Caenorhabditis elegans: one gene and its partners. The protein of the gene in region 1 interacts with the protein of each later gene in a pairwise test. Each region holds a gene or a part of one and is shown on either strand. Other genes may lie near its edges.

Region 1 (7,666 bases):
AATATTCTTTCTCTCGAATTGTCATATACATCGAAACGCCTGCGAGTTTTCAAAAAAGACGTTGGAGGACGCGGTTTCGAGCTTTCTGGAGCAGTTTCCCCGAGCTTCATCGCTAGTTATCGTTCAACTGTTGCGATTTCGGATCTTGGATGTAATAAGGTGTTCATTTGCTGCTTAGACGACACAAATTGGAATAATATGTCATTCAATACTCTTCGAGTTCTCGAATCGGTTAGTTTGAAATTGAAAAATCATTTTTTCTTATTTAAAAAAACTGTGGTGTTTCTAACAATTGTAGTTTGTAGCCTGTGTTTTAGAGAACACCTTTTTGTTGCTTTTAAAGCGATTGTGGGCGGACAATGTCGAAGTACTGGATTACTGTAGTTTTGAAAAAAAATTCACTTTTGAAGGGATAGTCAGCGGATCATCGAAAGATTTTTTTCAGATAAAATCGAAAAAAAAATGATAGAAAGTTTAGAACAAATTCAATTTTTGTTTATATCGATGAGAAAGAACTTGAGAAAACATATAATTTTATTTAAGAATGTTCAATTTTTGTGAAATATCGAAAAACCAACACCCTTGACTATATGCGTATTCAAGGAAAAACGTGTTTGGCTTTTGAAGTAATTATTTCGGGATACTGTAGTTAAAAATTGAATTTTTGGTTTTTGAAAAATATTAGAGAGATGGTATGGTGTGGTATTACTGTAGCTTAAGACAATATGCACTTTTTTTTGGTATTAATATATTATTTCAATGACACAATTTTCAGTCACCTGATCTGCCGATAGATCAGCTCGCCAATGAAACTGGATTCCGATTCGTCTCCGGAATGCAATTCGACCAAAATGGCTATCTTCTCATTGGAGATGCAAAAGGTCATTCGATCAAGGTTAGAATTTTCAAAAAAAGTTTTTCAAGTATATGGAAAATTTTTAGATTTTTTTTGGTTTAAAATAAAAAATTTAAATTTAGAATATTTTTAAATGTTTCAGCTGTTCGACACTGACTACAGTTTCCTGCATCGTATCTCCAGTGATTTTCCTCTTCCCTATATGTCTTCATTCCATGTAAACAGTAAAGGCCAAGTAATTATCCTCGATGTGAACGCGGAACAGAAGCTTCACTGGGTGAAGATGGAGTCGATCGACGAAATTCAGAAATGGTTGCCACCGAAAGCTGAAAGACGTCCCACGCAAGGATTTTATCAAGCAAATGCTCGTCGAGGTGAATTCAAACGTTCACAATTTTGAGTTTTGTCGATTTTTCTGGATGTTCTCGTTTGAACCAGCATTTCATTTCACTTTCTACCCGACGTTTTTTTTATAATTGTTCTCTTTCTGTTCAATTTTTTTATTCAAATAATTCTTCAACATTCATAAACTACCTCCCCCCTATAATAAGCTCTCCCTATTAAATCAATATAATATTGACTCATAATTTCTTATCAGTTTTTATTGAGTCAACAACTCTCATTTCTAGACACTCTTTCCCCATGCATCCATCGAGGTGAACATTTGAGTTTCGATTCTTTTAATGTTTTTTATCCATAACTTTCAGAAAATCTGCATTTCCAAAACCTAAATTTGAGGTCTGGAAATTTGCAAAGTATTCCTCTGCTCTACAGATTTTTCAAATTGTGAGTTATTTCAAGTACTTTTTATCTGTTGTTGTTGAATAGTTTTAGTTTAGTAATGAACGTATTTTTAATATATATATATATATGTTTTGTGCAAGAAACCAAAAACTTAAAATTAGCATGGAATTCTAGTTTGGAAGCTTCGTATCCCTTGTGCTCATTGGACTTGTTGGCTCACAGTTTGCTCCAACATATGCTGCTCTTTTGACATGCGTCTTCGCAATAATCGGATCATCTGTATTTTTGTTGTGCGATGTTTTTAATATTAATGAGACTGAACCAGATGAATGGGTTTTTTGGGTAAGAATATATTGAATTATTTATTTTTTTCGAGTTTTCTACAGGAAAGCGTCTTCATTTCATCATTCTCATTTTTGTTCACAATCAATACACTGACCATGTTGTACAGTTCGATTCGATGGAATAATACGGCCTGGTGGCTGGCAACGGTATGTTATGCAAAATGTGAAAACGCGCTCCACGGCAATTGACAACGCCCGCCCCCAAACCATGGGTCTCGTTAGATATTTGTCGGCAAAACCGTAAATTCAAACTTTTTGACTTAATTCCGCCACTTTGGCGAAATAAGCAAAAATGAAAATAAAAACATTTGAATGTACGGATTCGCCTCCAAATACCTAACGAGACCCATGGTTTGGGGGCGGAGCGTTTTCAAATTGCCGTGGAGCGCGAAAGAAAATCAATTTCAGGTTGTCTGCGCTTTGGTGACAGTCTCGTTTCTTCTCAGTCTGTTACATGTGATGAAAAACCAAACGAAAGGTCATATTACTGTTAAACAGGAGGAGAATGTTGTGCGATTTAATACGCGGATGAACCGCCGACGGATTTGAATTTATATCAATAAATGTACAATTTGACAATTCATATAAATACTGATAATAAATACATTTAAGACACAAATAAAACGTAAGTAACTTAGAAGAAAGTGATCAGAGAACTGTGGGTTTACTATCAGATCGGATGGGGGACAAGTGGATGTAATTGAACCGAGTATATGTAAGTAATTGATTTAAATATATAACTATTCCGGGATGGATTTAGGAAGAGTAGTTGGATGAACCAATCGGGAATCAGATGATGAAGGAGTATCCGGAGATGGAGAATCCCATGAATCCGGTCTTGGTTCCGGTGATTCAGGTGGCTTAGTGGGATCATCAGTGAGAAGAGCCTTCTCCATATATTTCCTGGATATTGGCAAAGCCGTAAAAACTTGTCCGGGTCCGTTACGAAGAGGTTTTGAAGTATCACTTGTGACAGCGTCAAATGCGGGCGTACGAAGTGGAGTTTTGATAGCATCCGCGTGGGTTTCAAGACTGAAGTGAGAGTAATAGCGAACGAAGTCACTTATAGTTGTCAGGTAGACATTGCTGTGCTCGAATCCCCATCCTTCTTCGTTTTGTTCGATTAGACAATGTGAGACACGTTCTCCGTGAAGTACACTCAATACGAGCTTATCACCCTGAAAAATATTCAATTCAATTCAAAAATTAGCGTGAATGAGGATGAAAAGTTATTCTTCTGATAAAATCATAAACTAACATGAGAAGAGGATCCTCGAATCAAGAAAATACCATCTTGTGGCTCTCTTTTCAATCCAACAGCCTTGTCAAGTTGAGCGATCCGATAGCGAGCATGAATCAGAGCATTCGCAGCATTTTCCTTAGAAGTTCCACACATCAAATATTGTGCCGGTGTCCACTTCAATTCCATATCGACAAGAAGTTGAGTGACTTTCGTTGGCTCACTGTTTATCATTTCCGCTCCAGCATCAAGCATTGCAGCCATTCTCGAACAAAGTGCTGGTTCCATTTTATCATAGACTGCACTACGAAGTTCCATAAGCTTGCAGAGTCGTGTTTTTGAATTGGATCTTTTCATCGCGATTTCATCCAAAATTCCGGAGAGCGTCTTTTTCTTATCCTTTGATGACGTCAGTTCAGTGTTTATTCGTCGAATACTTTCTTCCACAAACTGCAAAATAAAAAAGATAAAATTCAAAACTATAATGGTTAAAAATTGAGGATTTGCTCTAAAATCATTTTTAAAAAACCGAGAAAAAAATTGAGCAAAAATTAATAATCCAGCTTTGAAAATATTGAGTTTTGGCTAAATAACAATTTTAAATTGAACTTCTTTTTTTTGCTTTAGAATTGTTTTTTTTTGGTTTTGGATGTTTTTTTTCTTCAAAAAACGCTTACTGTCTTATTATTTGCAAATGCTCCTTTGAGCATTTCACTTGTTGTCTGCGATCCCTGTATTTGTGTAACGACGTCTGTTTCAGCTTCTAACAAATTATTCAGTTTTCCAAGTTTAATCTCATTGTCCCGAACTGATTGATTCAAAGCATGATAGAGACTTTCAGCTCGTTCCATTTCTTGATGAGCTGAATCATATAGCTTGGCTCCTCTCTCAAATGCCAAATGTACTGCTCTCAAATTTTCCATTTCCAAGCGTTCTCTCCAATCTAAAAAAAGCATTAAATTTACTAATTTTTATTTTTTTCAATCACTCAGACGCGAAATTTTGCCACTTTCGCGATAAAAATATGGTACGAGGTCTTGAAACGACAAGAGAAATTCCGCAGCAATTAAAGTTTGAAATTACAGTATTTTTAAATTTAGCGTTTGCGTTATAAAATAATTTACCATGATCATTTTTTGCACTGAGAATCATACGCTGCTGAAGTTGCCCCTTCTTGAAAAATGGTTTTCCATTTTGAGAGTTACGACGAACAGAAACTGGATATAAAAGACGAACATCAAGTGCATCATTGAAAATATTGAGAGAAATATTTCGATGAAATTCAATTAATCTGACAACAGAATCGTGAGTTAATGAATCTGTATTGAATCCGCATTTTCCATCTTTAACAACGATTCGGAGAAGTTTCACTTGGGCGGCAAATCTGAAAAAAGGACTATTAATATTGAATACTAATTTTGAAAAACCCACTTCACAGAAAGTGTATAATCTCCAGGTGTACTAGCATTTCTCACAATAAATGATCCATCAGGTTGATCAGAAAGTGCTTTCGAAACTGCAGATCTATCAGCATCAGCCCAGTACCATCCTTGTTCCATAAGACTATGAGTGACTCCATGAGGAGTTCCAGGTGTTGTGCTCATTCTGAATCCTTATATATATATATATATATATAATTAACGGAGGAGAAGAATCTGTGGTGTTTTTGCCGAAGTAGACTAAATCTGGCACAAGACCAAGCCGAGACCAAAAAGCAAAGCATTGAAATTTGTGAAAACACCAAAAAAAACCAACAAAAAAAGTATGTATAACATGGTCTGTAGACCAATGGAAATATCAACGAGAAAAAAAATTCGAAGAATGCAAATAATTAAATAATTTTATTTGAAATATTTACACCCATAAATACTAGCAATTCGTCCCGACTATTAAGTGCTCGCTTTTTTGAAAATTTTCATCATAAGAACCATTGATACGAAGCTCATAAAAATCAGAACAATGAGCATGACCTTGAAACAGTCATAACCACATTTGTAGGCGTGACGCTCAACTCGCTCACTTTGAATCTGGAAATTTTAAGACTATTATTTGAAGTTTATATAGTGAAGAAATTACCCCGAGAGCTGTTTTATTATCATCGACTTCTTTCGCCATTAATATTGCTCTTTCTGTATCTTCTTTAATCACATCTCCAGCAGCCGACATCATCGTTTTGAATGATCTCGCCATAGTGGCCAAACTATTTGCTAGCTCCTCCTCGACAAGCTCATTTTTCATGAATTCCTGATCTTCTATAAAATTTGACGAATTTTGAACAATCATTGGATACTAATTTTTACCAGATGTGTCTTGTGCTCTATGTTTATTAGATGAAAGCAACTGCTTCCGAAGATCTGATCGATAGATGGATCGTTGAGTAGCTCGGAGTCCAGCTGCGGATTCTTTTTCAAAATCGTAACTTTCCGCCTCGTTATCTGCAATATAAACATTAAAATGAAATATTGAATAATTCAAAAACCATTCTTGGAGTCTGCAACAGTTACTTGGACATCGGGAAATACACGTGGAATTTTTTCAATCACTTTCAGGCGCTCCTCGGCTGACGACTGGAAAACTTACTGACAATTTCATAACAGTTGCGAAATTCACAAAATATTTAAAGCTGTTCAACTTGTTTTCTTTACTTAAATCTAAATTGAAAAGAGGGACATAAAATCTACGGAACATTTGCATAATATTTTAGGATTAAATTTTTAATTGAAACAAATCAAACAAATTCAAATTAAGTTTAGAAATTATGTAAAAATTTGTATCTTTAAAGCAAAATTACAAGATCGAATTTGCTTGTCTAAAATATCTACAAACCTTGCTTTCAGCTTCAGCGAGTAATTTCAGTTGCAAGACTTCCTGTCGGTACTCGTGGAGAATATCATTTGTGGTTCTGGAAAAGTAAAACTATAAATATTAAAAAATGTATTTTGAAAAACTCACTCATCGTTTTGAAGTGTATAAATCATTTTATTGAGAATCTTTGTAGCTGCAGAAACCTGAAATAAGAAAAATAATTAATTAAACAGAACTTAAAATGTGATACTTGCTTTCCAAACGTTTGCTGACATATCCTCTTTTGTCAAGCGCTTTGTTCGCTCGAGAAGTCGTAGAAATTTCAGCTCATTTTCAGAAATATACGCCATTTCATTGATGTTTTGACAAAATTAGATAAAAAAATAAAAATAAACGTTGACAACTTGAAAACAAATAAGTTCGGCCACGGCCGAGAAATACAAAAATGCAAATGCGCTCATGCGCGAAAAAATTTTCAAGTCATCCTTTTTGTCGAGGACTGAGAGATTCTTCTTGTTTTATGTAATTTTTCTATAGGTTTCTGCCGTTTATATTTTAAAATCATATTTGTCTAGATTATCTTTATATTTTCAGAGAATGGCCCGTCGTTACGATAGTAGAACGACCATCTTCTCTCCGGAGGGAAGACTGTATCAAGTCGAATATGCTATGGAGGCTATCAGCCATGCTGGAACTTGCCTCGGCATTCTCTCATCGGAAGGAATCGTCGTTGCTGCTGAGAGAAAGAACGTTCACAAGTTGCTGGATGATTCTGTCATGACTGAAAAGGTCTACCGTCTTTCGGACAACATCTCGTGCACTGTCGCTGGTATCACCGCCGACGCGAACATCCTCATCAACCACTTGAGATGGTGGGCTGCCAGCTATCGTAACAGTTACGGAGAGGAAATGCCAGTTGAGCAGCTCGTCCAGAATCTTTGCAATGAAAAGCAGAGATACACGCAGATTGGTTTGTTGATAACTTCTCTCTTGATTTCTATTAATATGATTTTCAGGAGGAAAGAGACCGTTCGGAGTGTCACTTCTCTATATCGGATGGGATAAGCACTACGGATATCAACTTTACCAATCTGATCCTTCCGGAAACTACACTGGATGGAAGGCAACCTGCATCGGAAGCAACCACCAGGCTGCCGTAACCTTGTTGAAACAGGAGTACAAATCCCCAAATCTTGAAGAAGCAAAGCAGTTGGCTATCAAGGTTCTCTGGAAGACTTTGGATGTGAAGCTCGCTTCCGAGAAAGTTGAGATGGCTGTTTTGACTCGTCGTGATGGAAAGACTGTGCTCGAAGAGCTCACCACCAAGGAAGTCGATGCTCTGATTGCTGAGCACGAGAAGAAAGAAAAGGAAGCTGAGACTGCTGAGAAGAAGTAATCTATTGCCTTTGAAATAATCTTTCAAGACTGTATTGTAAACCATCCTCCCACCCGTTTAATTTATTGTCTGGTTTTATTTCTTATCACCCATATTCCTATCTCAAACGTCGGTGAAAATTAAATATTTGTATTTTTAAATTTTGCTTTCTTTAATTCACCTTGTTGTTGTCCGTGCAAATCTTTGATTATTTGGTCAAGCGAGAGTGCTGGAAAAAAGAAGGAGTGTGCCGCAACATTGCAATGGGCGGAGTCTCGAATTTTCTCGAGCATTTGGGGGAA
Region 2 (7,325 bases), on another chromosome or scaffold:
TAAACACTTTACACTTTCCGCTTTTTCTTCATTCTCCTCGTTTTCAAAACTTCAGTTTTACTTTTTACTGGTTTCACTACTCAACAACTTTTCGACAACCTAGATGGTTTTTAACTTGAATGGAGAAGTGTCCATTTTTCAAAAATTATTCCAATGATCGTACAAAAATGTATTTTTAGAAAGCTCAGCTCATTTTTTTATATCTACTATTCTGTAAGAATGGGAGTCTCAAAAAGTTTCACAGCTACGTTTTCTGAGACATTTTATTACCGAATTTTTAGGATAGCTCATCTATCCGGTCTTCCACATTTTTACCAAGATTACACTGTAACTTGCCAAATGCGTTTAGAAATGAAAAAAATGTCAGCTTCTTATGAAAACACGTAGAATTTTCAATTTTATTCACTCCCTTCCCACCCATGAGATCCTCTTGATTCATAAATATTTTATGATTGTAATCCGATATTTCTACTGTTATTATTATTATTACTTCTATCACTTTTTCTTGTTTGATGAAATACTTCTTCGTTATTCCAAAATATCAACAAAAATGGAAACCTTGACCTCCTAATTATTCTTTAAAGACCCTTTTTTGCCCATTTCACCATCGTTTAATTAACTTTTCGAATCCCCCTGATCCTGGTTCCGTAGAAAAAGACAAATTTTGCTCTTTCTTCATTAGGAAGAACTAGTGAATGACTTTTTTGAAAAGAGTTTTGAAACTAGAAGACGTCCAGAAACGCTTTATTTTAATTGAATTCCGGAGAAACACGGTGACAACGATGAAAAAGAGGAAGATGTTGTGGTAGATGTCAAAACAACAACAATGAGCTTCTTCCTTTTCTCTATCTGAAACACATTTCATTTCTTTTTGTACGAATTTTGTTTCATTGTCCAGTTTCAAAAGTTGGGAAATTTCAATTTTTTGTCAATTGAAAAAAAAAGAAACTGAAGAGAGTGGGATTCGAACCCACGCCCCCGAAGCTACTGGTTGCCTTAAACCAGCGCCTTGGACCGCTCGGCCATCTCTCCGCCGAAATTTGACACTCGTAGAGACACTTAAGTGCTGCCAGTTGAAAAAGTGGCAAACAGATAGAACACGGGTGTACTCTACTATAGTTTCGTTTATTTCAGGTCGACAAACGGATTTCCATCTTGTTCACGGTACCCCTACGAAATGACACAAGGAAATGGCCACGTCACAGTTGTCCAGGTTTGAAATAATTTATCGTCAGAAATTTTATGAACAATACGTGAATGAACTTTGGAATCTGCGAACCATTTTTTAATGCGTCAAAATTTAAACTTGAAAATTACTCCGGAGCAAAGTTTTGCCAGTTTTGTTCCAATAATACGGTATCCGGTCTCGACACGACAAAATTTCGTTAAATGAAAAAGTCGTGTTCCTTCGAAGAGTACTGTAATTGAACATTTCCAATATCATACATCAATCAATAAATCTCAAATTAGATAATCGTCTAATTTTCAGCCGGGCTCATCACAACCTGATCGTCTTGAAACAGCTGTAGATATAAACGACGGAGATACTGATATCGAAGAAGAATTATCACATTCTTGTAAACAAGTAATTGTTCCATCAAAATCACAGGTTTTATTCTACGTGTCCACTTCAACACATTTACGATTAAATCATCAAGGATCTGAATTACAAGTAGGATTCTTTATTTTTTTGATATTTTATAATATTTATAATTTACAGGTAACTGATCCATCAGACTTTCCACTTTTAGATATTTGGTCGGAAAATGTTTGTGATGAAGCTCCTTTTTGGATTATTGAATCTTACGGTAAAATATATTAATTTTGTAAACTTTTAGAATTAATAATTGGTTTTCAGGTCGACGAGTAGCAGTTGTAACAGACACAGCTCCTCGATCAATTCTCTCATTCTTTATTCCATTTCTGCGACCCAGGCGGACTGTACCAACTTTTTCAATAATTGATTGGAATGGAGAAGTTCTAGGATATTATGCACTTGGTAAGAATTTAAAAATTATTAAATTTATTGAAAATTTTGTGTATGCGTAACAACTTAAAACAGTGGAAGCTCTGCAGCTCTTACAAAATTATTCTAAAATCTCAATTTTCAGCAAGCGATGGAATAGAAGTTCAAGATACTCGCCACGAGCCCATTGCAAAAGCCTTCAACGAGCCTGATCCATCTGGAGGATCCACGTGGCGAGTCGTTTGTGAAAAGAACTCTCAACGACAACTGGCAGTTCTAACAGCTGATGGACATTTATCATTTTCATCTGACATTGCTCTTCCACTTAAACTTCTTCTTATTTGTACATTAAGCAGAGCTGTTGTCACTCGAACATCTCCATCTTGTTTTCCTTTCTTTCGATAAGAAATTACAATATTCACTGTTTTGCAACTTTCGTTGTACAAATTTCAAAATTTTCCGAAAATGTCGTTGTTTTTCCTTTTCAACATCATCTGATTCCATGGAACCTTTGATTCTGAGATCGCCTTATTTGTCTGATAATCGAAACTATCACCAAGAATCTTTTGTGTAAAATTGAATTTGTTCTAATTGCCAAATTATAAAAAGAAATGTACAAAACTGATAAATAAACCGAAATAAAAATTTAATAAATTATTTGTCTTCGAATTCTGGATGAGCCAATGTGTATGCACGATATCCGGCCAAGAAACTCGCAATTATCTGAAAAAGAACATTTTAGTAAATCAAAATTGAAAATATAAATTAGTAAACAGTTAACGTTAATTCGTTTGGTGTGATACTGAAGAAAATTCAGTTCCAGCATAAAAGAAAGTTATACATTGTCAACTTTTAATTGCTTGGTAGTGTGAATGTTTTTTGTCCCCTCGGGGACTGGAGAAACCAGAATAACAAATCGTGTACAGCTCGCTAGAGTGCGGGAAGAGTCGGAAGTTATGAAAGTGGTATTTTTTTAAATGATTTTGTGAAATTATAACAATTGGTTACTTTCCCAAACTTTTCCAGTGTCATTCGCCAGGTTGATGGCCGGCATCATTTCTTTATTCGATTTCCCTTATCTTTATATGAAATTTTATGAGGTGTCCGCTAAACACCATAAACTATCAAATAATAGGTTTGATCTCGTGCTCTTTTTTCTCATAAAATTCGTGTTTTACGATATACACAAACATTTCAAATGTTACCAAATACACTCACCTCAACTACCAAAACTCCCATGGAAGCTGCTCCGAGGTATTGAGCATTCGACGAAATTTTATTTCTGATAGTTTTCTCGCAACCCTAAAATATTTGAATATTAATCGAATTTTCTTTAGAATTTACATCATTAAAATGTTGTGGATAACAATGCAATGCTTGCAAGTCGTTGTTAGTTCCAGTTACTCCCCAAAACACTGACCAATCCGTGGAATTGTAAACTCCACAACAACCAAACTGAAATTAATACTTTCTCAATATAAGATACATCATAAAGCTTACTAAATCTTGAGTATTTGCCCAAAACTGAACTTCGGCGTCAGAGGAAAGTGATCCAATTGGTGGGATGGTTCTGTAAAAATTAATTGTCAACTTTAGAGGGATATTGCCTGAAATCATACTTTTGAGCAGCTTTCGACAATGATTCGTACATAAAATCGTCAGAAGCCAATTGATTTACTTGATCAGAATATGTAAAAGCTAGAAGACCATCAACTAGTTGAACCACAATCATAAGAGCAACCATTGCACAGTACTGGAAACATGATGCATAGTTGTAGATTAATGGATAAATGGATAAAGGATAAAACATTTGTTTCAGATTTCATTATTCACATTCTTGACCAGACAATCATCATGAATCATGAATTGAAAAACCTACGGCTTTCAGCAAAAACGAATTGTGTCGGAGAACGGATACAGTTGCTACGAGGAAGGAAATAACAAGCACACAGGCAGCAGCAACGAACAATCCAAAAATCATATCTAGACGTTTCAACTCTAAGAAATCATTATCCTGTAAACATTAGAACTGAGATGAAAGAGGAATTGGATTACTGTACCTGTTGGGCATACGTGGAAAATGTCCCAAATCCACCGCCAAATCGGAATAAAAAACCAATTACAATAAGTGCAATACCGATGATCTAAAAAATTTATTTTCAATATCTATTTCAATGTCAGAAACTTACTGCGGTTGCAAGGGATGCACCTAGAAATACTTTATCCTGATTGTTGAGTTCCACCATTTCTTGGGTTTCTGGATTTAACCCCCTAGAAAAAAAAAGTTAATTAGTGCTAATAATTGAATGAAAAGACAAGAAGCTGCAAGAAAGACAGTGATAAGTGATACGTAAAACACGTCGAATTGAGGTTATTAAATCTCGACATTAAACATATTTTAATGGCCGTCGCGGACTGATAGTAACTGCCGGAGAGTCAACATGCACTCCGGTCAACGATTGAAAGTCACGTTGCATCCCGAAACCGGAGTTGTTGAGAAGAAACTTTGAAAACTCGAAGAATTTGAATTATGAGATAAATGATCATTGCAATATTTTACAGCCTTTCATAATTTCCGCAACTGTACGTTGTAAATATTCATGATACCCAAATTTATTGACAACCATGTGCCAATACGGAACTTTACCATTACAAGGTAAAGTCGTAATTGGTAAAGTCGTAATTTTCTGGTGAAACTACAGTGCATTTTGCAGTCCTGTCAATGTACTGCTGTTGCAAATTATGTTGTCCACTCGGAGACTGGGCCGAGCCCGGTAGCAGTGCAACGCCAGGACGACGCTTGAGAAGTCGTAGCAACCCCTGAGTCTTCGCCGTGTTCCAAACATCATATAAACTTAGATTAATACATGAACTACACTTTTATCTTACTAATAGCTAATAAGCCGAGGAATCGATACTTTTGAATGAAGAAGCGGGGAACAATGTTTTTCTGTGAACCGACAAAAATTACGTGCGCGTTTATTCATTCTGATAAAATTTCGTAAATTTTATTACCATCATAATATTGATACCCGAACGCTCAATAAATACTACATTTCAAAATTATTTTCAATTATTCTTCTTTTCTACTTCAGCTTCTTCTTCCTTTGATGGATTTTCAACCAATGCATTCTTTTTCGGTAGTTTCTCATCAAATCGAACTGTCAAAATGAATGAGATGATAAAGAACATAAAATAGCAATAAAATCCTTCGTGCAGACTAGAGAATAATCTTTGTTGCATCTATAAATTCAGTTGTATTAAAATATTTTTTGTTATAGAGATCTACCTGAACTGGCCTGATGAATCCGCAAATCAAGCCAACAACAGCGGACGTATTGAACAATTGCCACGTGGTTTTCCCAGGTTTTTGTGTGAATCCTTGAGCTCTGAAAATAATAAAATTACATGTATTAGATTTTCAGCTAAAAATTATTTTAAATGTTTTCCCCATTTTTTTCTGCAAATCTAATAAAAGAAATACGCAAAATATTTTTTAAAAAACTTACAATAAGACCATAACAACTGCCAAAACAATAAGAACAGATTGAATAGTTCTTTCTAAATGACCCATGTTATCCAATTGATGCTTTACAAGTGCTCCAGCTGGTTTATCAGTCATATCCAAATCGATTGGAAGATTTAATGTCCATACATATCCATGCATCCATATGCTTGAAATATTAAAATATGAATAAAAAAAGCACAAACTGAAAATAATAACTAACCTGGAAAACATAAAATCAAATAGATGGGAAGCCGTAAAAACTGCCAAAATAAATCGGAATGTTAGTGATAATAAATGTCTAACTTTTTGCTCAAATGGTCCAACAATTCCGTCTTCTTCGGGCTCCAAAATACGTGGGAGCGCCATGTTTTAAAGCTAAAGTTACTAAGAAATGCTCGACTTCAGTCCGAATTCGGAGACCATGGAAATGGACAGTGTGAGGAGAAAGAATATAGGAAATTGAGAGACATAGGCATTGAACGGGCGGCCTTGACATAGAAAAGACGGTCGATTTGAGAGAATTAGATATCGACAGAAGAAAGGAAAAGATTTGTTGGAAAATAAATTAAACTAGAAACAGCGACGATCTCCAAACTTCTAATTTAAAAAAAAAACCTAAAAAGAGTGAATTTACAAGTTGGTTAAAAAAACTTTATTGCATACTAAAAATGTAACATTTGATTTTATATTCTGAAACATTATTTGTTAACCATGATTTTATTCCTTAAAAGTTATAACATCTGGAGGCATCCCAACCTTACTGCGACTTTATAAGTTTTGATATTTCTAATATTAAACGTAATTAAAATATTAAAAACCTGCACAATACAATTGTACACAACTCTAGTTTTGATATTATTTTATGATGTTGATCAATTTCACGATATATAAAGTCCAATCCAATCACTCGGTTTGTACACAGAAAAAAAAGATGCACAAACGTTGCTCCTCCGGTCTTCATTCAACAGTATCGCTTCTTCGGCTTATTAGCTAATATCAAAGTGTAGTCTGTTCTCATCGTACTAACCTACGGTATACAGTCGAATGGGCGTAATAAAGGTTATATGATTTTTGGAACCTAGGGAAGACTCGGGGCTTTCTCCGACTTCCCAAGGGTCGTCCTGGCATTTCACTGCTGCTGGGCGGCCCAGTCCCCGAGGGGACAAAAACCTCTACAGTAACAATTTAAAGTAGACGTTGTGGCCACATGTTTCGAGTTTAATTGCTATTTTCCTTTCTATCTCGTTTGAAAAGATGTAGTACATGACCGATATCTCCGAAACAGTTACGGACGTCGCCGCGCCGCTTTGATTTATGAGTTCGTAGTTTTTATTTAATTTGTATGCACTTTTATCATGTAAGATTTATTAATAATTACACTTATTAGATGGTCATAAACAACTGTGGAATGTTTGAATTTTTGGAAAGAAACAACGAAGAAAATTAAAGAGAAAACCCTTAGTTTAGCAACTGCCGAAATCGGGCTAGATCATAATGAGGTACGGTCAAAAAAGGATGCAGAGAGAATCAACTATTGTGTGAATTTACGCAAGTGATAATATCCTCCATTATTCTTATGATTACTGACTGATTCACCATTTCCGTATCCGTCGTTTTGACTCTGAGAAATTGCTGATGGAGCAGCTGCATCATTTCCTCCTTGTGGTTCATATGATCCACCCGTGGCTCCCGGAGCAACCTGAAATTTTTAGTATAGTTTGGTTTTTCTGATTAAGTTTAAAAATACAGTTCAAACATTAACTTACATTATCACGTGGAGCTGGAACACGTCCCTTTTCATCATTCATAACTACTTCAGTATCTTGGCAAACACAAGTACCAGGAGTACCA
Region 3 (11,190 bases), on another chromosome or scaffold:
TGCTGAAAATGACAAAAAATGTTATTATCAATAAATAAGAACCTATAATTGCAATAAAACGGATGAAATTGTTTCCTTCGTTCGATAAAATTCTGAAGCTTTAATCCTTAATAAGCCCGAGGCTTCTTGCTTCTTTTTCAGCCCATTCCGCCAATTTTCCATCGTCTGTAATTGGTGATTCTTCTTCTCCACAGACAGCATCAATGTAGAAACTTCCTGAAAATTTTTGAATAATAGTTTTTAAAGAACTAAATTAATCTTAAAACATACTTTGTGCGGTCAATGCTTCAAATTCATCATCCGAGCCTTCAGCGTCTGACGCTGATCCTCCAATGGCAAACTTGGATGACGAACATTGGCTTGTCTGCATCGTGACAATCGTGGAATAATCGGAAAAGTCGACGACTACTCTTGATCCTCGAACTGACAACTTTGAAGCATCAGCGGCAGTTCCACCGACAACGAGGGTGATTGGTGGAAGCTAAATTTTATTTTTAATTTTATCCATTTCCTCCTAACGAACCTTTGGTCCTGATGGGAATGCTTTGATAAACTGTTGAATCGAGTCATTTGATACTAAAATTGAACCACTTAGATCCACGTGGCGGATATTTGGCATTCTAAGCTTCGCACGCACACCATCATCACCAAGATATGTGCAATTTCTCAGTTGAATAATTTCCAACTTTTTCAGTGAGCCCAGTTGCTCTAAAACTTTTGAATTGACAGCTGCCAGCGACGATGCATCAAGCTGAGTCAGTTCTTTTAGATTTTTAATCGCTGAAACTCCTTCTGCAGTGATCGACGAATCGTTTCCAGCGTTAGCAAGACTGAGTGATGAAAGAAGCGGTAGACCAGCTGATATTGAGATAAGAAGCTCATCATTAACAAGAGCGTTGTAGTCAAGGCTGAAACATTGATAAATATAATTTTAATCATAGGTTCAGATGGAACTTACGCCAATTCTGTAATATTTCTCATGTGACTAATATGAATCAATCCGGCTGACGTTAAACTTTTGAATCCATCCCCACATAATGTTAAGATTGAAAGATCTTCCATTCTTCTAGCGATCATACTCAGATTCTCATCTGTGATTTTATAGCATTCATTGATCCGTAATTCTTTGAGACCTCCACAACTGGTGCATAAATCTTCAAAAGCCATCTCATCTACTTTTGATGATCCATCCAAATATAAACTTTCCAGTTGTGACCCGAATAATTTGAATGATCGTCCGTGGAGCCGTTTTGAATTTCGTAAATCCACAAATTTAAGTGAATGACCACAGTTTTTAAGTAAAAAGTAGAATGCCTTGTCTCCAGTTGTTTCCATTCCTCTATAAGATAGCTGTTCTAAATGTGAAAGTGATTCTCCAAGTTCTTCGAGAGCTTCAGCCTGAGCATGAGTTCCACTAATATCAAGATCAACTAAATTCGGACAGCATGTTGCGATGACTTTAAGTGCTCGGCGATCATCAAGAAGATGCACAATTCCAGAAACATCAAGTGACCTCAAGTGTGCACCAGCACGAGTAAGAATCGCCTGAAATTTTTTATTTTTTATTAACTTTTTAAAACTAATTTTTTTAAATTTCAGCTCAAACTCATTTTAAGATGACTTGTTCTCATTGGTCGTTGCTTGTTGAATACAGTTTCTCTTGCCAATGCAATTTTATTGACAAGTTCCCAGGATTTAATTGATTCTTCCATGAACTTTTTATTAACTCGTTCCAATCGAATTGTTTCGTGAATTGGTAAAAATGAGATGACCCTTCTAAGAATTTTATCCGGGACGTTTCCCAAATTGAATGATTGCTCGGATCCTGAAGCTAACGACTGTGTAGATGAAGCACGGGACAATGGAGTATCTTCACGACTTCCAACATCATCACTGAGCACGAGACCTTTACCTCCACGTTTTTTCGATACATACTACAAGATAAATTGGTTTAAAAATTAAATCCCAAATCAAAAACTTACAGCTGAGACAACCATAACTTGATCATAAAACTTCAACTCTTCAGGATTCGCATTTTTCGCGCGATCAGCATGCTCAGACTTTCTGCAAAAATTGTATTATTAAAAAGACCTGAACAAACCAAAAAAATTTAAATTATACTTAAAAGTAATAGTAGCAGTTCCACAATTTCTGGAATGCTTTGGAAGTGTTCCGAACACTGATGTCTTTTTCTCTTCGCGAGGCAGAATGCAGCTGGTTATCTGGAAATTTAATTTTAAAATTTTATATTTAAATGATAATTAAAACAACACACTTTTCCATATTGAGAAAAGAAGGATTGAAGCTGTGATTGGGTGACTTTAGCAGAAATATTCGAAACCACGATTTTTCGATCATCACGAGAAGTATGTTGGAAAGCGATAGATGCATCGAAATCTGAAAAAAAAAACAATTATTGATTTTTTTTCCAAATTTTAAGATTTATTACCGTCTGTTTCTCCTCCATCAAATGCATCTCCATCGGCGAGTAACATTGGTAAAAGTCGTCGATATTTCATAAACTCTGCGGCAGAGTGGGACCAAGTTCGCCTGAAAATATTTTAATTTTAATTTAGAAAAAACCAGAGCTAAAATGTTGATATTACCTCAATTTTCCAATACTGAAAAACCGTGCCCTTGTGACAAATGACTGAAATGCTTCAGTCATATCATGAAGCCCTCGGCTCTCCAAGTTCTGTCCATGAAGCCGGCGGAGTGCTTTGAACATACTCTGAAAAATTGAAAATGTGTGAAAAAAACGTTTTTTCGAGAGAAAAGATAACAGAACCATATGATTTGATTTGGCTACTGTTCCCTAGTGTTTTCTTATCACATTAACATTTATTTGGTAGACAAAAAATCGAATTGTGTTCTCTAACCTGTTGTGATTTAGCACTTCCAGCGCTCCCGAGGTTCGATGTGAAGCTTCGATTGAAATCCATTTTTTAGGTTTAACTGTTTTCTGAAATTGAAACATTAATAATAAATTTGAAAACAATTTTGATCGATTTTCACTAGTCGTTGTTCGGAGGAGGAATGGCGCATGTTTACCAGTGAGTCGGGTTAGAGATTATACGGAAGTGAAGAGACGCAGAAAACGGGACATTCGGATGCTTGGGGACACATTGGTCACTATGAAACGTTCAAAAGCACCAATTCAAAGAAAATCTAGAAAATTTGCAGTTTTTGAACAGCTTTTAAATTTAAAATCATGCTTTAAAAGACCTTGTTTTTTGTTAACTTTGAAGGCAAAGGGTATTTGCAATAACGATTTTACATTAACACAAACTTATATATCCATTTTTGGAAATACTAAAATAAATTCAAAAAAACACAATGAAACATATTTACAAACGAAATGAAAGCCGGCAGCTTCAATAAAATAAAAAATAATTGTTGAAAAAATATAATTAAAGAAAGCTGCACACTGTGCGGCACAATTGCGAAAAAGCGGGCCGCAGTTTGCATGAAAGACCACGCCCACTATTTTAGATTTCGAATTTGTTTTTTTACTCTAATTTTCTATTGTTCGAGTTTTTCGGAATTAAAACTGCTTTAAAGAATTATTTTATTAAATTTTTTATCTGTAAATTTCAGGATGGACCAGCTTGAGCACCTCTCACTTGTGAGCAAGGTCCTCAGTGAAGTTGAGAACCATTTTGGTGTCGTCGAAAAAGATGTCGCTGAGTTTGTTATTCATTTGGCTCAAGAGAATCCAACATTTGATAAACTGAAAAAGGCTTTGGATAGTCAGGGACTTGGGGATCAGGTATGTTGAAATATGAGAAAATTTAACGACTAAATTATTTTTTTAAAGGAAATTTCAAAATTATTTTAATTCAAGGTGTTTTAAAATATTTTGATGAATATCAAATATCGAGATTTAAAAAAAACATTATTCGTCTCATAAATATAAAAGTCTCGATATTCCTCTCTTTAATTCTAAATTTCAGTTTGATGATTCCCTCACTGCGACCATACTTCGTATAGTACAAAGCATGACTGCTGTTAAAAAGAAAAACAAGAAAGGTGGTGATTCAAAAGAAGATATCAAGGATTCACACAAAATTACATTGATTTCTGATGCAAAAGAAGAAATTAAAGCACGACTTCCAGCTCTAGCGATGGCAAATACTGCGAAAGAAAAGGAAGATAATGAAGATGATCTTATGGCTCAGTTAGAAAAGATGGAAGGCCGATATGAAAGTGAGGTACGTATCTTTGATATTTGAAATTTGTTAAAATAAATTTTCCATTTACAGAAACGTCTTCAAAAGGAATCAGATTCAAAACGAAACCGTTCAAGAAGTCGATCAAGGAGTCGTGATCGAAAACGAAGAAGAAGTCGTAGTGGTGACAGGGATCGTCGGAGACGTAGTAGGAGTCGTGAAGACAGAAGAGATCGAGATAGGAGGGATCGGGACAGAGACAGAGACAGAGGACGTGGGGATCGAAGAGGAGACGACAGACAAAGAGATCGGCGTGATCGACGAGATGATGGTGGTGCTAGAAAATCCGAAGTTGCAGAAATCGGAAAAATCTACGATGGTCGTGTAAACAGTATTCAATCGTTCGGAGCTTTCATCACACTGGAAGGTTTCCGTCAAAAACAAGAAGGACTTGTTCACATCTCCCAAATTCGAAATGAACGAGTTCAAACCGTCGCAGATGTTTTGAAAAGAGGAGAAAATGTCAAAGTTAAAGTTAATAAGATTGAAAATGGAAAAATCTCGTTGTCAATGAAAGAAGTCGATCAGAATAGTGGAGAAGATTTGAATCCACGCGAGACCGACCTGAATCCGGATGCAATCGGAGTTCGTCCACGGACACCGCCAGCATCAACTTCCTCGTGGATGAATCCTGAAGCAAGTGGAGTAGGACAAGGTCCTTCGACCTCAATTGGTGGTGGAAAGGCGAGAGTTCGAATTTCGACACCTGAACGGTGGGAATTAAGACAAATGCAAGGAGCCGGAGTTCTCACAGCCACAGATATGCCTGATTTTGATGAAGAAATGGGAGTTCTAAGAAATTATGATGGTGAGTATTTTATTTATGATCTAGTAATTAATGATAAATTTGAAAAAAAAATTATTTTCTCTTGAAAATCACTAAATTATTTTTGAATTCCGCGCAAATGGTGCTTTATTTTGCTTACCGTATTTCCTCTATTAGTCTTGCACCCCTACGGGTCAATCTAAAATTAGTCTTGCAGCCTCTATTAGTATTGCATGCAAGACTAATAGAGAACATACGGTATTAGTCTTGCACCCCTATTCTTGCCAGACCAGCAGTATTTTGTGAAAACTTCAACAATTTCGCCATTTTATAGCTAAATTAAATTTTAAAGTGTTAAAATAATTGATAAAACAATAGAAAAGTATGTATTTTGCATGATTTAGACTGTTTCAAGTCAAATTTGTGACGATAAATGGCCAATTGAACAAATCTATCGGGTCTTCGAAAATTAGTCTTGCAGCCTCTAATAGTCTTGCAGTCTCTATTAGTCTTGCACCCCTACGGGTCAATCGAAAATTAGTCTTGCATGCAAGACTAATAGAGGAAATACGGTATATGATTTTTTAAAAATAATTTATATTTAAAAAAAAAACTGCAAAATTTTTTTAATTGAAAACAATTTCAATTTCTCTTGAAAATGACTAAAAATGATGTTTTACAGACATTTTTCCTTAAAAATTGACAGTAATTTATCGTTTTTAAGCCGATTTTTTATTTTCAACAAAATTTAAATTTGGTTTTCTTTACTGAAAAATGCCAAAGTATGACAAAAGATGCATCGGAGAATAAATATCGAATTTAGCCTGAAAAATGCGAATACTTTACAATTACGGCAATAATTTTCCCGGGAATTCAAATAAAATTAAAAATTAAGCAAGATTGAAAAAAAAACATGAAAAAAATGATGGTATAAAATTTATGATTTAATAATTTATCAAGAAAAATTGTAAAATTTTTTGAATTAAAACAAATTAATTTTTCCTGAAAATGACTAAATTGTTTTTGAATTCGCGCACGCAGACATTTTTCCTCAAAAATCGACACTAATTTATCGTTTTTAAGACGATTTTTTAGTTTCAACAGACAAGCCAAAATATGACAAAAGTTGCATATATCAAAGGAAAAATTTCGAATTTAGCAGGAAAATGCGAAAAATTACAAGGAAATGATTTTCCCGATAATTCAAAGACAATTTTTAAAAAAGCTAAATTTAAAAAAAAATCATTAAATATTTAAAATAAAGTTTCTATCATTTAAAGCACAACAATTTTTCAATTTTCAGATGAAAGTGATGGCGAGGATATTGAAATCGAGCTTGTCGAAGACGAACCTGACTTTTTACGTGGATATGGAAAAGGCGGTGCAGAAATAGAACCTGTAAAAGTTGTCAAAAATCCGGATGGTTCATTAGCTCAAGCAGCTTTAATGCAAGGTGCTCTTTCAAAAGAACGAAAAGAAACGAAAATTCAAGCACAACGAGAGCGTGATATGGATACACAGAAAGGATTCAGTTCAAATGCTCGAATTCTTGATCCTATGTCTGGAAATCAGTCGACTGCGTGGAGTGCTGATGAGTCAAAGGATCGGAATAATAAAATGAAAGAAATGCCAGAATGGTTGAAACATGTGACAGCTGGTGGAAAAGCGACTTATGGAAGAAGAACCAATTTGAGTATGGTTGAGCAGAGAGAAAGTCTTCCGATCTTTGCGTTGAAAAAGAATCTGATGGAAGCAATGATTGATAATCAAATTCTTGTCGTTGTTGGAGAAACTGGATCAGGAAAGACTACTCAGATGACACAATATGCAATTGAAGCTGGACTTGGAAGACGTGGTAAAATTGGATGTACCCAGCCTCGTCGTGTTGCAGCAATGTCCGTAGCAAAGCGTGTGGCAGAAGAGTACGGTTGTAAGCTGGGAACTGATGTTGGATATACAATTCGTTTCGAAGATTGTACAAGTCAAGATACTATTATCAAGTACATGACGGATGGTATGCTTCTGAGAGAATGTCTTATTGATCCTGATCTTTCTGGATATTCGTTGATTATGCTTGATGAGGCTCACGAACGTACAATTCATACGGATGTCTTGTTTGGATTATTGAAAGCTGCTGCTAGAAAACGTCCGGAACTGAAGCTGATTATCACTAGTGCCACCTTGGATTCAGTTAAATTTTCAGAGTATTTCCTGGAAGCTCCGATCTTTACAATTCCTGGAAGAACATTCCCCGTTGAGATCCTGTACACAAGAGAACCAGAATCAGATTACCTTGAAGCTGCACATATTACTGTAATGCAAATTCATTTGACTGAGCCACCTGGTGATGTTCTTGTGTTTTTGACTGGACAAGAAGAAATTGATACATCGTGTGAAGTTTTATATGAACGAATGAAATCAATGGGACCTGATGTGCCGGAGCTGATTATTCTTCCTGTCTACGGAGCTCTTCCAAGTGAAATGCAAACAAGAATCTTTGATCCAGCTCCTGCCGGAAAGCGAAAAGTTGTTATTGCTACGAATATTGCCGAAACTTCTTTGACAATTGATGGAATTTTCTATGTCGTTGATCCAGGATTTGTGAAACAGAAGATTTACAATCCGAAAAGTGGAATGGATTCCTTGGTAAGCATTTATGCACCCGTCAGGGATTTCACGAAAAAATTCGACCAAAAAACAAGACAAAAAACGAAAAAAAAATTTCAAAAAACACGAAAAGCGGCTAAAAAAACGAAAAAAAAAATCAATTTTTACCAGAAAGTTCAAAAACCAGGAGAACAAGTTTTTTCGAAGACGAAAAACGAAAAAATAATATTTTGCCAAAAACAAAAAAAACTCGGATTTCTTTTTAAAAAAAACTTTTTTTTTTTGGTTTTTGTCTTAAAAAAAACGAAGAAAAAAATCCATTTTTACCAGAGAGACCAAAAACAAGAAAAAAAATTTTGTTCGAAGCGAAACAATTTATTTCGCCAAAAACAGGAAAAAACTGAAATTTTATATTTTTGAAATGTTTGAAACGAAAATTCTTATTATTTCAAGAATAAATATTTGTAGAGTTATATTTAATTTTGAGTGTAATGTTTTGTGAAAAAAAGTGGAATAAATATTTTTTCGCCTTTTTTTAACAAATTTTTTTTCGAAAAAGTGAATCATACATTTTTCGCCTTTTTTCATAAATTTTGATTCGAAAAAAAAGTGAAAAAAAAATGTTTTCACCAGAAACTGAAAATGATGCAATAAAATTCAATATTGTTTGCAATTAGACGAATTAAAATTATTAGCTACTCAAAATAAGATAATTTTTTTCGAGATATTAAAAAACAATTTTCTGATAAATAAGAACGAAAATACAATATAAATTTCAGGTTGTCACCCCAATCTCACAAGCCGCAGCAAAGCAACGATCAGGACGTGCAGGACGTACGGGACCTGGAAAATGCTATCGTCTCTACACAGAACGTGCATTCCGTGATGAGATGCTTCCGACACCTGTTCCAGAAATTCAGCGAACAAATTTGGCGTCAACACTTCTTCAGCTTAAAGCTATGGGAATCAATAATTTGATTGATTTTGATTTCATGGATGCTCCACCTCTGGATTCAATGATTACTGCTCTCAATACACTTCACACGCTTTCAGCACTTGATGGAGATGGTCTTCTCACGAAACTTGGTCGTCGAATGGCTGAATTTCCATTGGAACCATCACTTTCCAAATTGTTGATCATGTCTGTCGATCTGGGATGCTCAGAAGAAGTTCTTACGATTGTGGCAATGCTCAATGTGCAAAACATTTTCTATCGACCTAAAGAAAAACAGGATCATGCTGACCAGAAGAAGGCGAAATTCCATCAACCAGAAGGAGATCATTTGACACTTCTAGCGGTTTACAATTCATGGAAAAACCATCATTTCTCACAACCATGGTGTTTCGAAAATTTCATTCAAGTGAGAAGTATGAAGAGAGCTCAGGACATTCGTAAGCAATTACTCGGAATCATGGATCGTCATAAACTTCTGATGGTCAGTTGTGGACGGGATGTATCGAGAGTTCAGAAGGCTATTTGCTCTGGATTCTTCCGAAATGCTGCAAAACGTGATCCACAGGAAGGATATCGAACATTGACTGATGGACAGAATGTTTATATTCATCCATCATCAGCATGTTTCCAACAACAACCAGAATGGGTTGTATATCATGAACTCGTCATGACAACTAAGGAATATATGAGAGAAGTAAGTTTATTTCAATTTTATATACGGAAAAGTACTGTAGGCGGAAAACACAAAAATGTCGAAACTAGGCCATTATGCTCCCTTTTGAAATATTTTCAAAATTTGAAAAAAAAATACAAAGTTTAGAGAAATTATATACATTTTTAAAATTCATATTTGGCATATGGAGACTTTATTCTTTCATTTAGGGCCAAAAACTATTTAAGTCTAAATAAGAAATTAAATAAAAACCTAATTTTCAATTTCCAGGTCACCGCAATCGATCCAAAATGGCTTGTTGAATTTGCACCGTCATTCTTCAAAATCGGAGATTCTACCAAATTATCAACATTCAAACGAAACCAGAAAATCGATCCGTTGTTCGACAAGTATGCAGATGCAAATGCCTGGCGTATCACACGTGTCAAGAAGAGGATATACAATCCCAACAAATAATCAGTCTCCTGTGTTTCTTATCGTTTTTTTATTTTTTAATATTTAAGTTATTCATTTTTGCTTCTTTTTCTGATGTCAGTTCTTTGTTTTCTGTCTGTAGAGTAAATACGAGTACACTTGTTTTGTTTTTGAATAACCTCATTTATTATCATTTAAACATTCAAAATATACCATCATTAGAATTAGAAGTGTTTAGGATGGGAGGACTCCGCAAAGAGCACCGAAGTTCCAGTAGGCGGTGTTGGTTGGCTCATTTGGAGCCTTGTCCATGTTGCAGTAGATATCGTTGAATTTATTGTTACGGTTGAGCATATTGTATGGATTATCCCCTGGTCCTGTGAGCGCTGGGTAGACGGTAAATTGTATACATTGTTCGATGTCACTGGAAAATCAATTGATAAATCACAATTTCTCTAAGCCTTTTTTTGGGAGAAAAAGTTGAAAAGAGGGGCCAGCTGGCCTAGTTTCTCACTTTCAAAGTTTTTGGCAATTTGCCAAAAAATTTGAAAATATTCAAAGCAATGTCGCATGTTCCGACACTTAGAATGTTTTAACACGAATAACTAAACTAAAATTAAAGTATAAAAATGTAGGAAAAATAATTTTTTTGGTCGCCTTCCAAATTTATGAGCAGCAAAAAAAGCTTGACACCGTGTGCTTCAAGTTATATACCGCATATTCGACTTTGACAGCTAATAATCTCGTGATTTTTTGTTTTTGTAGAAAAACTTTAACTGAGAACATATTTTTAAATCTTTTTCTATACTTAATGTTTTTGAATTGTCTTAATATCTTCAAAAACATTCGAGAGCCGCACTAATAGAGATTTTATTTATTGTTGCACATTTTTGAATAAACTTACTATGTCCAAGCATTTGCAGATGGCTCATTTGTAGCCCATTTAGACCAAGTAAAACCTGGTGAGGTATGCTTATCAACCATTACGAATGAATTTGTACCATTGCATTCCTCACTGTCAAGAATTCCTCGATCTCTTGAAACACATGCTGCAATACGTCTTCCGTCGACAGCAATAGCGCCACGAGTTGCCGGTCCAACACGATCGAACTGTTGTGCCATTTGTAAAGAGAACACATTGAGCTCCTCCTCGTTGGCGAAGGTAGTTACAACTGCTTCAGTGTTAGAAGCCTGGCAAAGAGCAGATGCATTATTGATCGGCATTGGTTGTCTTGGGGACCATATCAATTGCATGCACCATTCAGAAGTGAACGAGTTGTCAGCAGCAGGAGTACGAAGGAAGCTTGTGTATCCTTGTGGACAAACTTTTACCTTGGTAGTTGTTGGTTCAGGTGTGGTGGTCGTGGTGGTGGTGGTGGTTGTGGTAGGAGTTGTAGTGGTGGTAGTAGTAGTTGTTGTGGTAGTTGTAGGAGTTGATGTGGAAGTTGATGGAGTACTCGTGGACTTTGGTGGCTTTGTCGTACAGTCATCATCATTGTGATGTCCTCCATGGTACGATGATGGTGGACGATGTCCTCCGCTTCCA
Region 4 (6,919 bases), on another chromosome or scaffold:
ATTGGAAAAAAAAAAGTTTCAGCTAGAAAATGGATTTGCTCGATTCATGCTGTTGGACGATCTTTCGCGACACCCGACTCTCGACAGAATCCAGAGAGAAGAGCCAAGAATTTCAAGAGATGAACTCCGTGAAACAGCTTCATCTCCTGTCACATTTGAAACTCGACATTCTCCATATCCAGTGCATGAGCAAAAGTAGGTGGTTTTTTTTTAAATATTTTTTATTTAAAAAATGGAAATTTTTGAGATCAAACCTTATATTTCACAAACAATTCAGAAAAATTCACTCTTAAAAGAACCAATAAAAAAGGTTTTATTTTGTCGAAAACTTCTCTTTCGCCAAAAAAAAAATTTCCGAAGCCTCACCTTCTGCCTTTATTTGCTGTATATTCTCTACTAGTCTTTCAAAAAGTTATATCTCGGTTCATTTCAAAGATATCAATAAATAATCAACAGCAAATCTATAGAAAAACATTTAACAAATATTTTGTCAGTCGAAAGTTTTTCAATAAAACAAACGACAACTGAGTTATCAAATTTATCAGTTGGTTGAAATACTATTAGAGGAAATACGGTATAATACTTAGCAGAAAAGTTTTTACAAATAAAATTTGCGACTTTAAGTTCATCAAATTTTCAGAGTTCTATTTCCATCGTTTTCACAAGTTTCGAATTCAATGGTGACATCTACGGGCATCCGACAGGAAGCTTCAAGTGTTGGTGTTGGACCGATTGAAGACGACGATATTGTTGAGGAGGAGGAGGAAGAGGATATTCGACTTACTAGCAAGCCGTGAGTTTATCTACTTTAATAAATCTACTGGACATTCGAGAAATTAAAAAAAAAAGATTTCAGGTGTGTCAAACGCCGTTATGATCATCACGCCGAGGAACAGGAGTATAGAGATCAACTGATGAGCTTGTTGAGTGGAGAACCGGAAATTGTGCCTATAGGTGTCAACTCGGTTAGTAGTTTTTTCTATATTCCAAGACTCACAATTCCTCATTTTCAGAACGACGAACCATCTGGCTCCAACTCGGATTCTGCCGCGAAAAAGGCCAAATCCGTCGGCGACTACCATGAATGTCAGCTCTGTGGAGTTCGAGTCAAAACGCCTAGAAGCGGTCGATGGAATCTCCAAATGCATGTGATTGCTCTTCATTGTGTTGGAAGACAATATAAATGCAAGCAGTGTGATTACTTGGACTATCGAAAATCAACGATGAGAAAACATACGGTTTCGCAGCATGGAAGTGACATTCCGCCGCATAATATTACGTGAGTTTTGGAGTTTTTTCAAATCAAAATTTCAAATATAAATATTTTAAAACAATACCTAAACATCCCCATGCTGCTAGAATCAATACAATTTATTTTAAAAAGGCTTTGAAATATTAATTGAAATGAAATTATTTGTGAACAATTTTTGTAGAAGTTTCAAATTTAAAAAATCATATTTTTCCAGGGACAACATAATGAAAGCTGAATGGCATGCTGCAATGATAAAATGTTTCCCTGAATTTGCTCACAGAACTGGGTTCTTAAACTGATTCATCGCTCTCATCGCCAAATTATTTATTTTTTGATACCATTCCAATTTATTATATTCCTGATAAAAAGTGACAATTTGATAATTATATTGCAGTTATAAAGCGGTTAGATATACATACATCACCAATTAGATCAGCTTAACCTTAGTGAAACCCTCAAGTTCATGAATCGCCTTTTCAATGTCTTCTACTAAAATTGTGTTCCATCCGAGCTTTTCTGCAGCTTCAATGTTTTCATGGAGGTCATCCAAAAACACAATTTCCTCTGGTTTGACTCCGAGTCTTTTCTCAACTAAATGATAAAATCGAGCGTCTGGTTTCATGAGATGCTCCAAACAAGATTCTACAACTTCATCGAAATGTGTCAAATCGCATGGAAGTCTGGTTTCCTTGTGCTCCTGAAAATCATTGAACAAATTTTCAATATTGATAGGAACTCGATTACCTTATCTAAGAACATGTTGTTTGTCAGCATGGCGGTTTTGAAGCCCTTCTTGTGAAGAATTTCCACGGTTTTTTGCATATTTTTGTGCTGAAAATGCTAGGTTCAGGGCAAAGTTTAGAAACATTTTAAGCTTACAATTTTAACATTTTCTCCACGAAGGCACTCGGTGAATGGTTTTATCACAACGTTGTCAGTCAGCTTGTTTCCATACTGAAAGTTTAAAAAGTAAGAAAAAATTTCAAAAACTTTGTTTTGAAAATAAGGAAATTCATGAAACTTGCAATAAATTTGAATTTCAAACTTCCTAAAAATGTAGGAACGATGTTTCAGCTGTATCTTTCTGAAATTTTTTCCAAAAAATAAAGTCGATGGAACGTTCAAGTTTTTTTATAAAAATTGATGGATGTTCAGATTTAAATTCTCCAAAAAATCTTGGGGGAAATTTACATGTATTTTTCGAAAAAAATTGAAATTTCAAAACTTCAGAAAAATTTGGCGCATGTACCAATATGCATATTTTTTTGTGAAAAAATTTAGAACTTGACTCACAAGAAAATTTGCGAGAATTTCAAAATTCAATATTTCAACAGAAATTTTTTTCCCGAGATTCACATTGTAAACTTTTTTAAAAATTTAGGGAACAAAGCAGGAATATCAAAATTCCAGTGTTCAAAAAAAATTCGACGGGAAAATTCAAAATATAATTTTTAAAAAACATTTTTGGCCAAAAAAGTGTTTTACAAAAGTCAAAATTCATTTTTTAAGAGACGCTTAAAAATTCAAAATTGATTAAACCTCGCCTACCTTATGCTTCAAATACTGCAAAAAGAGACCTCCTTCCAAATCGTCGACAGTCAATGTACCCAAGAAAAGACTTCTATCGGGTCCCAACCACTGCGAAAACTCAATTCCGACAGATTCACTGTGTACAGCATCATCAGGAAGTCCAAGTGATCTTGACATGGCAACCCATTTCTCCATAACACCTTCATAAGAGAGTAAAACTCCTCCGAAATCGTAGACAACTGCTTTAATTTGCTGGGTCATAGTCATTTTGAAACTGAAATTGATTTATTATTTTAGGAGAAAAATATTTTAAAAAAACAATTCAAATGAAACGAAAAGTCTTGAAACTGAATACTAAAACAAAAAATGACATCAAAACTGAACGAGTTGGTCTTTAAGCATATTCGGAAGCAGGCAGACGCAGACAAAACGTGCGTTGTCGCTGACTAGATGAGTGTACTTTCATCACTAGAAAATATAAAATACGCCACCGTCGATAATATCAGTTACATATATATCAGCAGAAAACACGAAAATGAACGAAAAAGAGAGAAAAGTTAAAACGGGTTTTGTTCCGATGAACTCTCAAAGATGGTGGGGCAAAGAACAAAATGCTAGTGTGGAGGTCCCCAGGCCCCCATGAAATGTCTTTTTCTTCTCTTTTTTTCTCTTTTCCTCTTCACTATTTCCCTCGCTGGAACTGAACGTTAAGAAATATAAACCTTTGGAGTTTTTAATTCAAAAAAAAAAGGTCAAAACCAAAATGTTCAAAAAGTCAACAAAGATCTCGAACAAAAATATAGTCGACTAGACAGACCCCCCCCCCCCCCCCATGTTTCCATGGTACTGAACTTTTGAACTTTTGAATTGTCCTGAAACTTCTAGAGTGTAGTTTGATTTAGTGAACATAAGACAGAAAATGCATGTCCTATATGAATTAGATGAAGTAATCTATGACCTAGATTTTTATTGTATCAAAAGATCGTAGTGAAAAATATTGAAATATTACACCTTTCTGCAGACGCTTGTCAGTTTTCCACCGCACCTGGGGCTCCATTAATAAATTGGAAATAGAGAAAATTCCGTCTTGTGCATCCCAAAACTACAATGGTTTTGGTCATGTCGGTACAGAACGGGACCGATGGAGATAGGCAGGCGCCTAAATATACCAATAGGCAGCTAAGTGTGTCTGCACAGAAAATACATCTGTAACTATTTTTACTGAACTTTCCACAAATATATCAATTAAAATTTAAAAATGCTACCATATACATACACTGGGGTCTAATGCCAAAATGCAGATGGATTGGCAGGCAGGTAGGCCTAAAGATGTGTGTGCCTACCATATTGCTTTTAACTTGGAAAAGAAGTTGTGAGAAAAAATTGAAATACAAAGTTTTCTGAAAAAAAATTAATAAAACGAAATCATCAGACAAAAAGTGATATTGTGCTCCGACACTACCAAAACTACACAACTTTCGCCTATTTATACTACAATGAATAGTCTACAATCAGGTGGTGATAAATACCACGTTTATTTTTTAAAGTGATGTACATATATTTATAGAAACATGCACAAGTCATACTATATGAACTCTGTTGACTCAACTGGAGGGAATAAGTCACAAAATGTGAAGGGCTGAGCCTAGTTGAACAGAAATTCGGAGGTTTTATAGGGGAGGGGCGTGGCCGTTGGGTTGACAAAGATCGTACGGAAAAACTAAAAAGATTTTGTGATATTTTGTGTTGATACATATGATTCTCTATCATCTCCTTCCAAAATCTGACGGTAATCGGAAGAGATTAAGAGTGGTTCGTTGTACTCGGCCACCCACGCACACATGTTTCATTCATTTCTGTTTAACAGGCTTAGGATTCATTTGAATGGGATTATTGGTATTATAGTTCTTTGAACTAGAACTTGAAAAAGTTCAAAGCGGTTAGTCTGTGCGGTAGTTTCTTAATTGAACATACATACCGTATATCTTCTATTAGTATGGCCTCCCTATTAGACTGGCACTCCCTATTAGTGTTGCACTCCCTAATAGTCTTGCACCTACTTTTTTTTGGTGCGAACCCTCCTTACTAATTTTAAGATTTTAATAACATTTTTTGAATATTTTGCAACAATTTATGAGAAAATTTTTATGAGATTGAAGTTATTGTACCTTTTTGTTGCAATTGCAATCAAATTTTCTATATTTCCAAATTAAAGTTGGAGTTTTTTCAAGTAAATATTAGTAAGCCCCAACACAGAAAAATGTTCTGAAAAATAGTATGGCACTCCCTATTAGTCTTGCACTCCCTAATAGTATTGCAAGCGGGAAGACCTTCGAAAAATAGTATTGCAGCCATATTAATAGAAGAAATACGGTATGTACATACTCGTCACTTTTTTTTAGATTGGAGGTTGTATTGACAATATTTGGTCAAATTGAAATAATAAAAAAGTGCATGTTATCATTACTGAGTTCTGAAAGTTTTGAACAGTAATTATTACAATATTGATGACAATATCGAAAAAAAGTCATCCAATGAAGAGAATACACTTTGAGTGATAGATTTTTTAGATTTAGAACCGGCAACATTTAGCCGAATTTTCCGGAAAAACGGCAATTTGCCGAAGTTCAAAAAAATGAACCCGTAAATCGACACTGGAGCTACGGTGGTCATTGCCTAAAAATGATGCTCTATGCGCATTCTCAGTTTCAGACGACTATTTAATATCTCAGCTGGAATTTACGATAAGGTTAAGAAACAATTTGTTGCGATGTTCAGTGAAAAAAAAACTATGAATGAGTTCTGTCTTATTATTTTGAATCGCTACGGTTTCTTCTCCATTCAGCGCCCCTGTAAAGTTTTTCATAGTTCCAAGAATCGCCATATCAATTATTGTGACCACAGTTCAAAAGATAACTATTTTTTCTTTCGATCAAATTTTTCAGGGACATGCCGCGGCGCCAAAATGGTAGATCAACACAGTTCACCTAAACTCTTGAACACTTCATATTTGCATTTACATTGAATATCTGAATTCCTAATCATGAGATTTTGTAGTCAATATTATAGTATTGGTATAGATGTTTGAAATTTTGCTTTTCATAGTTTTGTTGGTCATCAAATGATACTACTATTTTGACAGTTCACAAAGTCGACCTTCCGCGGAGAGAAATGTTCAATGTCATCACGACAATAGTACATGCTACGTGTATAGTCTAGTCAGACTTTTGTGACCAGAATAGACACATTCTTTGTTTATAATATATTTTAAATAGAGAAGGGGAAATTTGGAAACAATTTTGCACAACGCAAAATACAAATTTAATCATATATTTGAACTATGGGCTTTCTGTAAGAGTGACAACATAGATCGAACGTTTTGGGGAAAAAACTAGAATTAATTGTGATTTTGCAGCTACATTTACTGGGGATCACGAAAATTCGAAAATGTATGTTTTGAAAATTATTTGCAAAAAATTTTAAATCCTAAACTCATAAAACTTCTTTGTAAACTTTGACACGGCAGAACAGTCCTAATGTTTCTGTTAAATTGTTGATTTCATAGCTAAAATTAAACGTGAAGGTATATACGCTTTACTATAAAGGCTTGAAATGTCACTTTTAATTTCTAGGCCACTTTCGGAACTTTTGATGTAGAAGTTTAAATTCATTCATTGTCAGATAAAAAATATATTTTGAAGAAAGTATGCCACCTTCACTTTACTTTAGAGCACAATTGCTGAAAATTATATGTACTCAAAAAGCACAGAGGGACATTTGGAACTTACTATACTATAACTTCGAATATATCGAATTCGATTTATATCGAAAATGGCTTGATACTTTTTAATTTGGCAATTTATCAAAGCTTTTACTGAAATTTTCAAAAAAGTCAAAAACATTTTTAGATTATTTAATTTAGTAATGTGGTATTTTACCACCAACAACACTTTTTTAAACACGTGCAAACCTTAGGTTTTCTTGATTAAAAAAAACAAAGTTGATTGTTTTACAGTTGAGTTTATTTTTGCGAATTTCTCTCTAGCTGCTCTGTTAGTTTGCTCACTACACTATTGCTTGCTGCTCTCTCAATTTTTCAAAACACACAACACAACAACACTAGTCGGCTCGAAGTCT

The links.
Region 2: the proteins of aap-1 (region 1) and tsp-10 interact in a two-hybrid assay, tested with the Caenorhabditis elegans proteins (one large-scale study listed by BioGRID).
Region 3: the proteins of aap-1 (region 1) and mog-5 interact in a two-hybrid assay, tested with the Caenorhabditis elegans proteins (one large-scale study listed by BioGRID).
Region 4: the proteins of aap-1 (region 1) and bigr-1 interact in a two-hybrid assay, tested with the Caenorhabditis elegans proteins (one large-scale study listed by BioGRID).

Annotation. Positions count from the first base shown.
Region 1 is NC_003279.8:5,104,966-5,112,631, reverse strand, and holds aap-1 (SH2 domain-containing protein), read right to left. Parts: upstream 4,790-7,666; 5' UTR 4,789-4,789; coding exon 4,616-4,788; intron 4,569-4,615; coding exon 4,309-4,568; intron 4,128-4,308; coding exon 3,862-4,127; intron 3,635-3,861; coding exon 3,203-3,634; intron 3,123-3,202; coding exon 2,685-3,122; 3' UTR 2,494-2,684; downstream 1-2,493. Other genes in the region: Y110A7A.15 (uncharacterized protein), read left to right, coding at 1-231, 776-895, 999-1,256; Y110A7A.21 (MARVEL domain-containing protein), read left to right, coding at 1,499-1,512, 1,564-1,642, 1,775-1,942, 1,987-2,091, 2,353-2,493; use-1 (Vesicle transport protein USE1), read right to left, coding at 5,074-5,211, 5,261-5,436, 5,485-5,619, 5,664-5,751, 6,011-6,086, 6,137-6,192, 6,244-6,339; pas-3 (Proteasome subunit alpha type-4), read left to right, coding at 6,587-6,959, 7,006-7,385.
Region 2 is NC_003280.10:6,715,473-6,722,797, reverse strand, and holds tsp-10 (Tetraspanin), read right to left. Parts: upstream 4,213-7,325; coding exon 4,156-4,212; intron 4,111-4,155; coding exon 4,027-4,110; intron 3,981-4,026; coding exon 3,846-3,980; intron 3,720-3,845; coding exon 3,586-3,719; intron 3,537-3,585; coding exon 3,467-3,536; intron 3,422-3,466; coding exon 3,311-3,421; intron 3,269-3,310; coding exon 3,185-3,268; intron 2,690-3,184; coding exon 2,621-2,689; 3' UTR 2,529-2,620; downstream 1-2,528. Other genes in the region: T14B4.8 (ANAPC4_WD40 domain-containing protein), read left to right, coding at 1,135-1,213, 1,490-1,672, 1,721-1,808, 1,859-1,999, 2,112-2,371; T14B4.5 (uncharacterized protein), read right to left, coding at 5,036-5,209, 5,256-5,355, 5,476-5,640, 5,695-5,840; Cuticle collagen dpy-2, read right to left, coding at 7,006-7,173, 7,241-7,325.
Region 3 is NC_003280.10:5,395,941-5,407,130, forward strand, and holds mog-5 (putative pre-mRNA-splicing factor ATP-dependent RNA helicase mog-5), read left to right. Parts: upstream 1-3,597; 5' UTR 3,598-3,598; coding exon 3,599-3,769; intron 3,770-3,953; coding exon 3,954-4,211; intron 4,212-4,262; coding exon 4,263-5,037; intron 5,038-6,298; coding exon 6,299-7,641; intron 7,642-8,381; coding exon 8,382-9,251; intron 9,252-9,500; coding exon 9,501-9,686; 3' UTR 9,687-9,870; downstream 9,871-11,190. Other genes in the region: fbxl-3 (Putative RNA-binding protein EEED8.10), read right to left, coding at 101-216, 271-481, 524-908, 959-1,545, 1,611-1,934, 1,983-2,064, 2,122-2,222, 2,276-2,397 and 3 more; clec-141 (C-type lectin domain-containing protein 141), read right to left, coding at 9,879-10,068, 10,549-11,190.
Region 4 is NC_003280.10:11,177,791-11,184,709, reverse strand, and holds bigr-1 (HAD family phosphatase), read right to left. Parts: upstream 3,057-6,919; 5' UTR 3,050-3,056; coding exon 2,801-3,049; intron 2,207-2,800; coding exon 2,132-2,206; intron 2,084-2,131; coding exon 1,997-2,083; intron 1,950-1,996; coding exon 1,680-1,949; 3' UTR 1,563-1,679; downstream 1-1,562. Other genes in the region: Transcription factor lir-3, read left to right, coding at 23-195, 641-793, 857-965, 1,014-1,279, 1,467-1,551.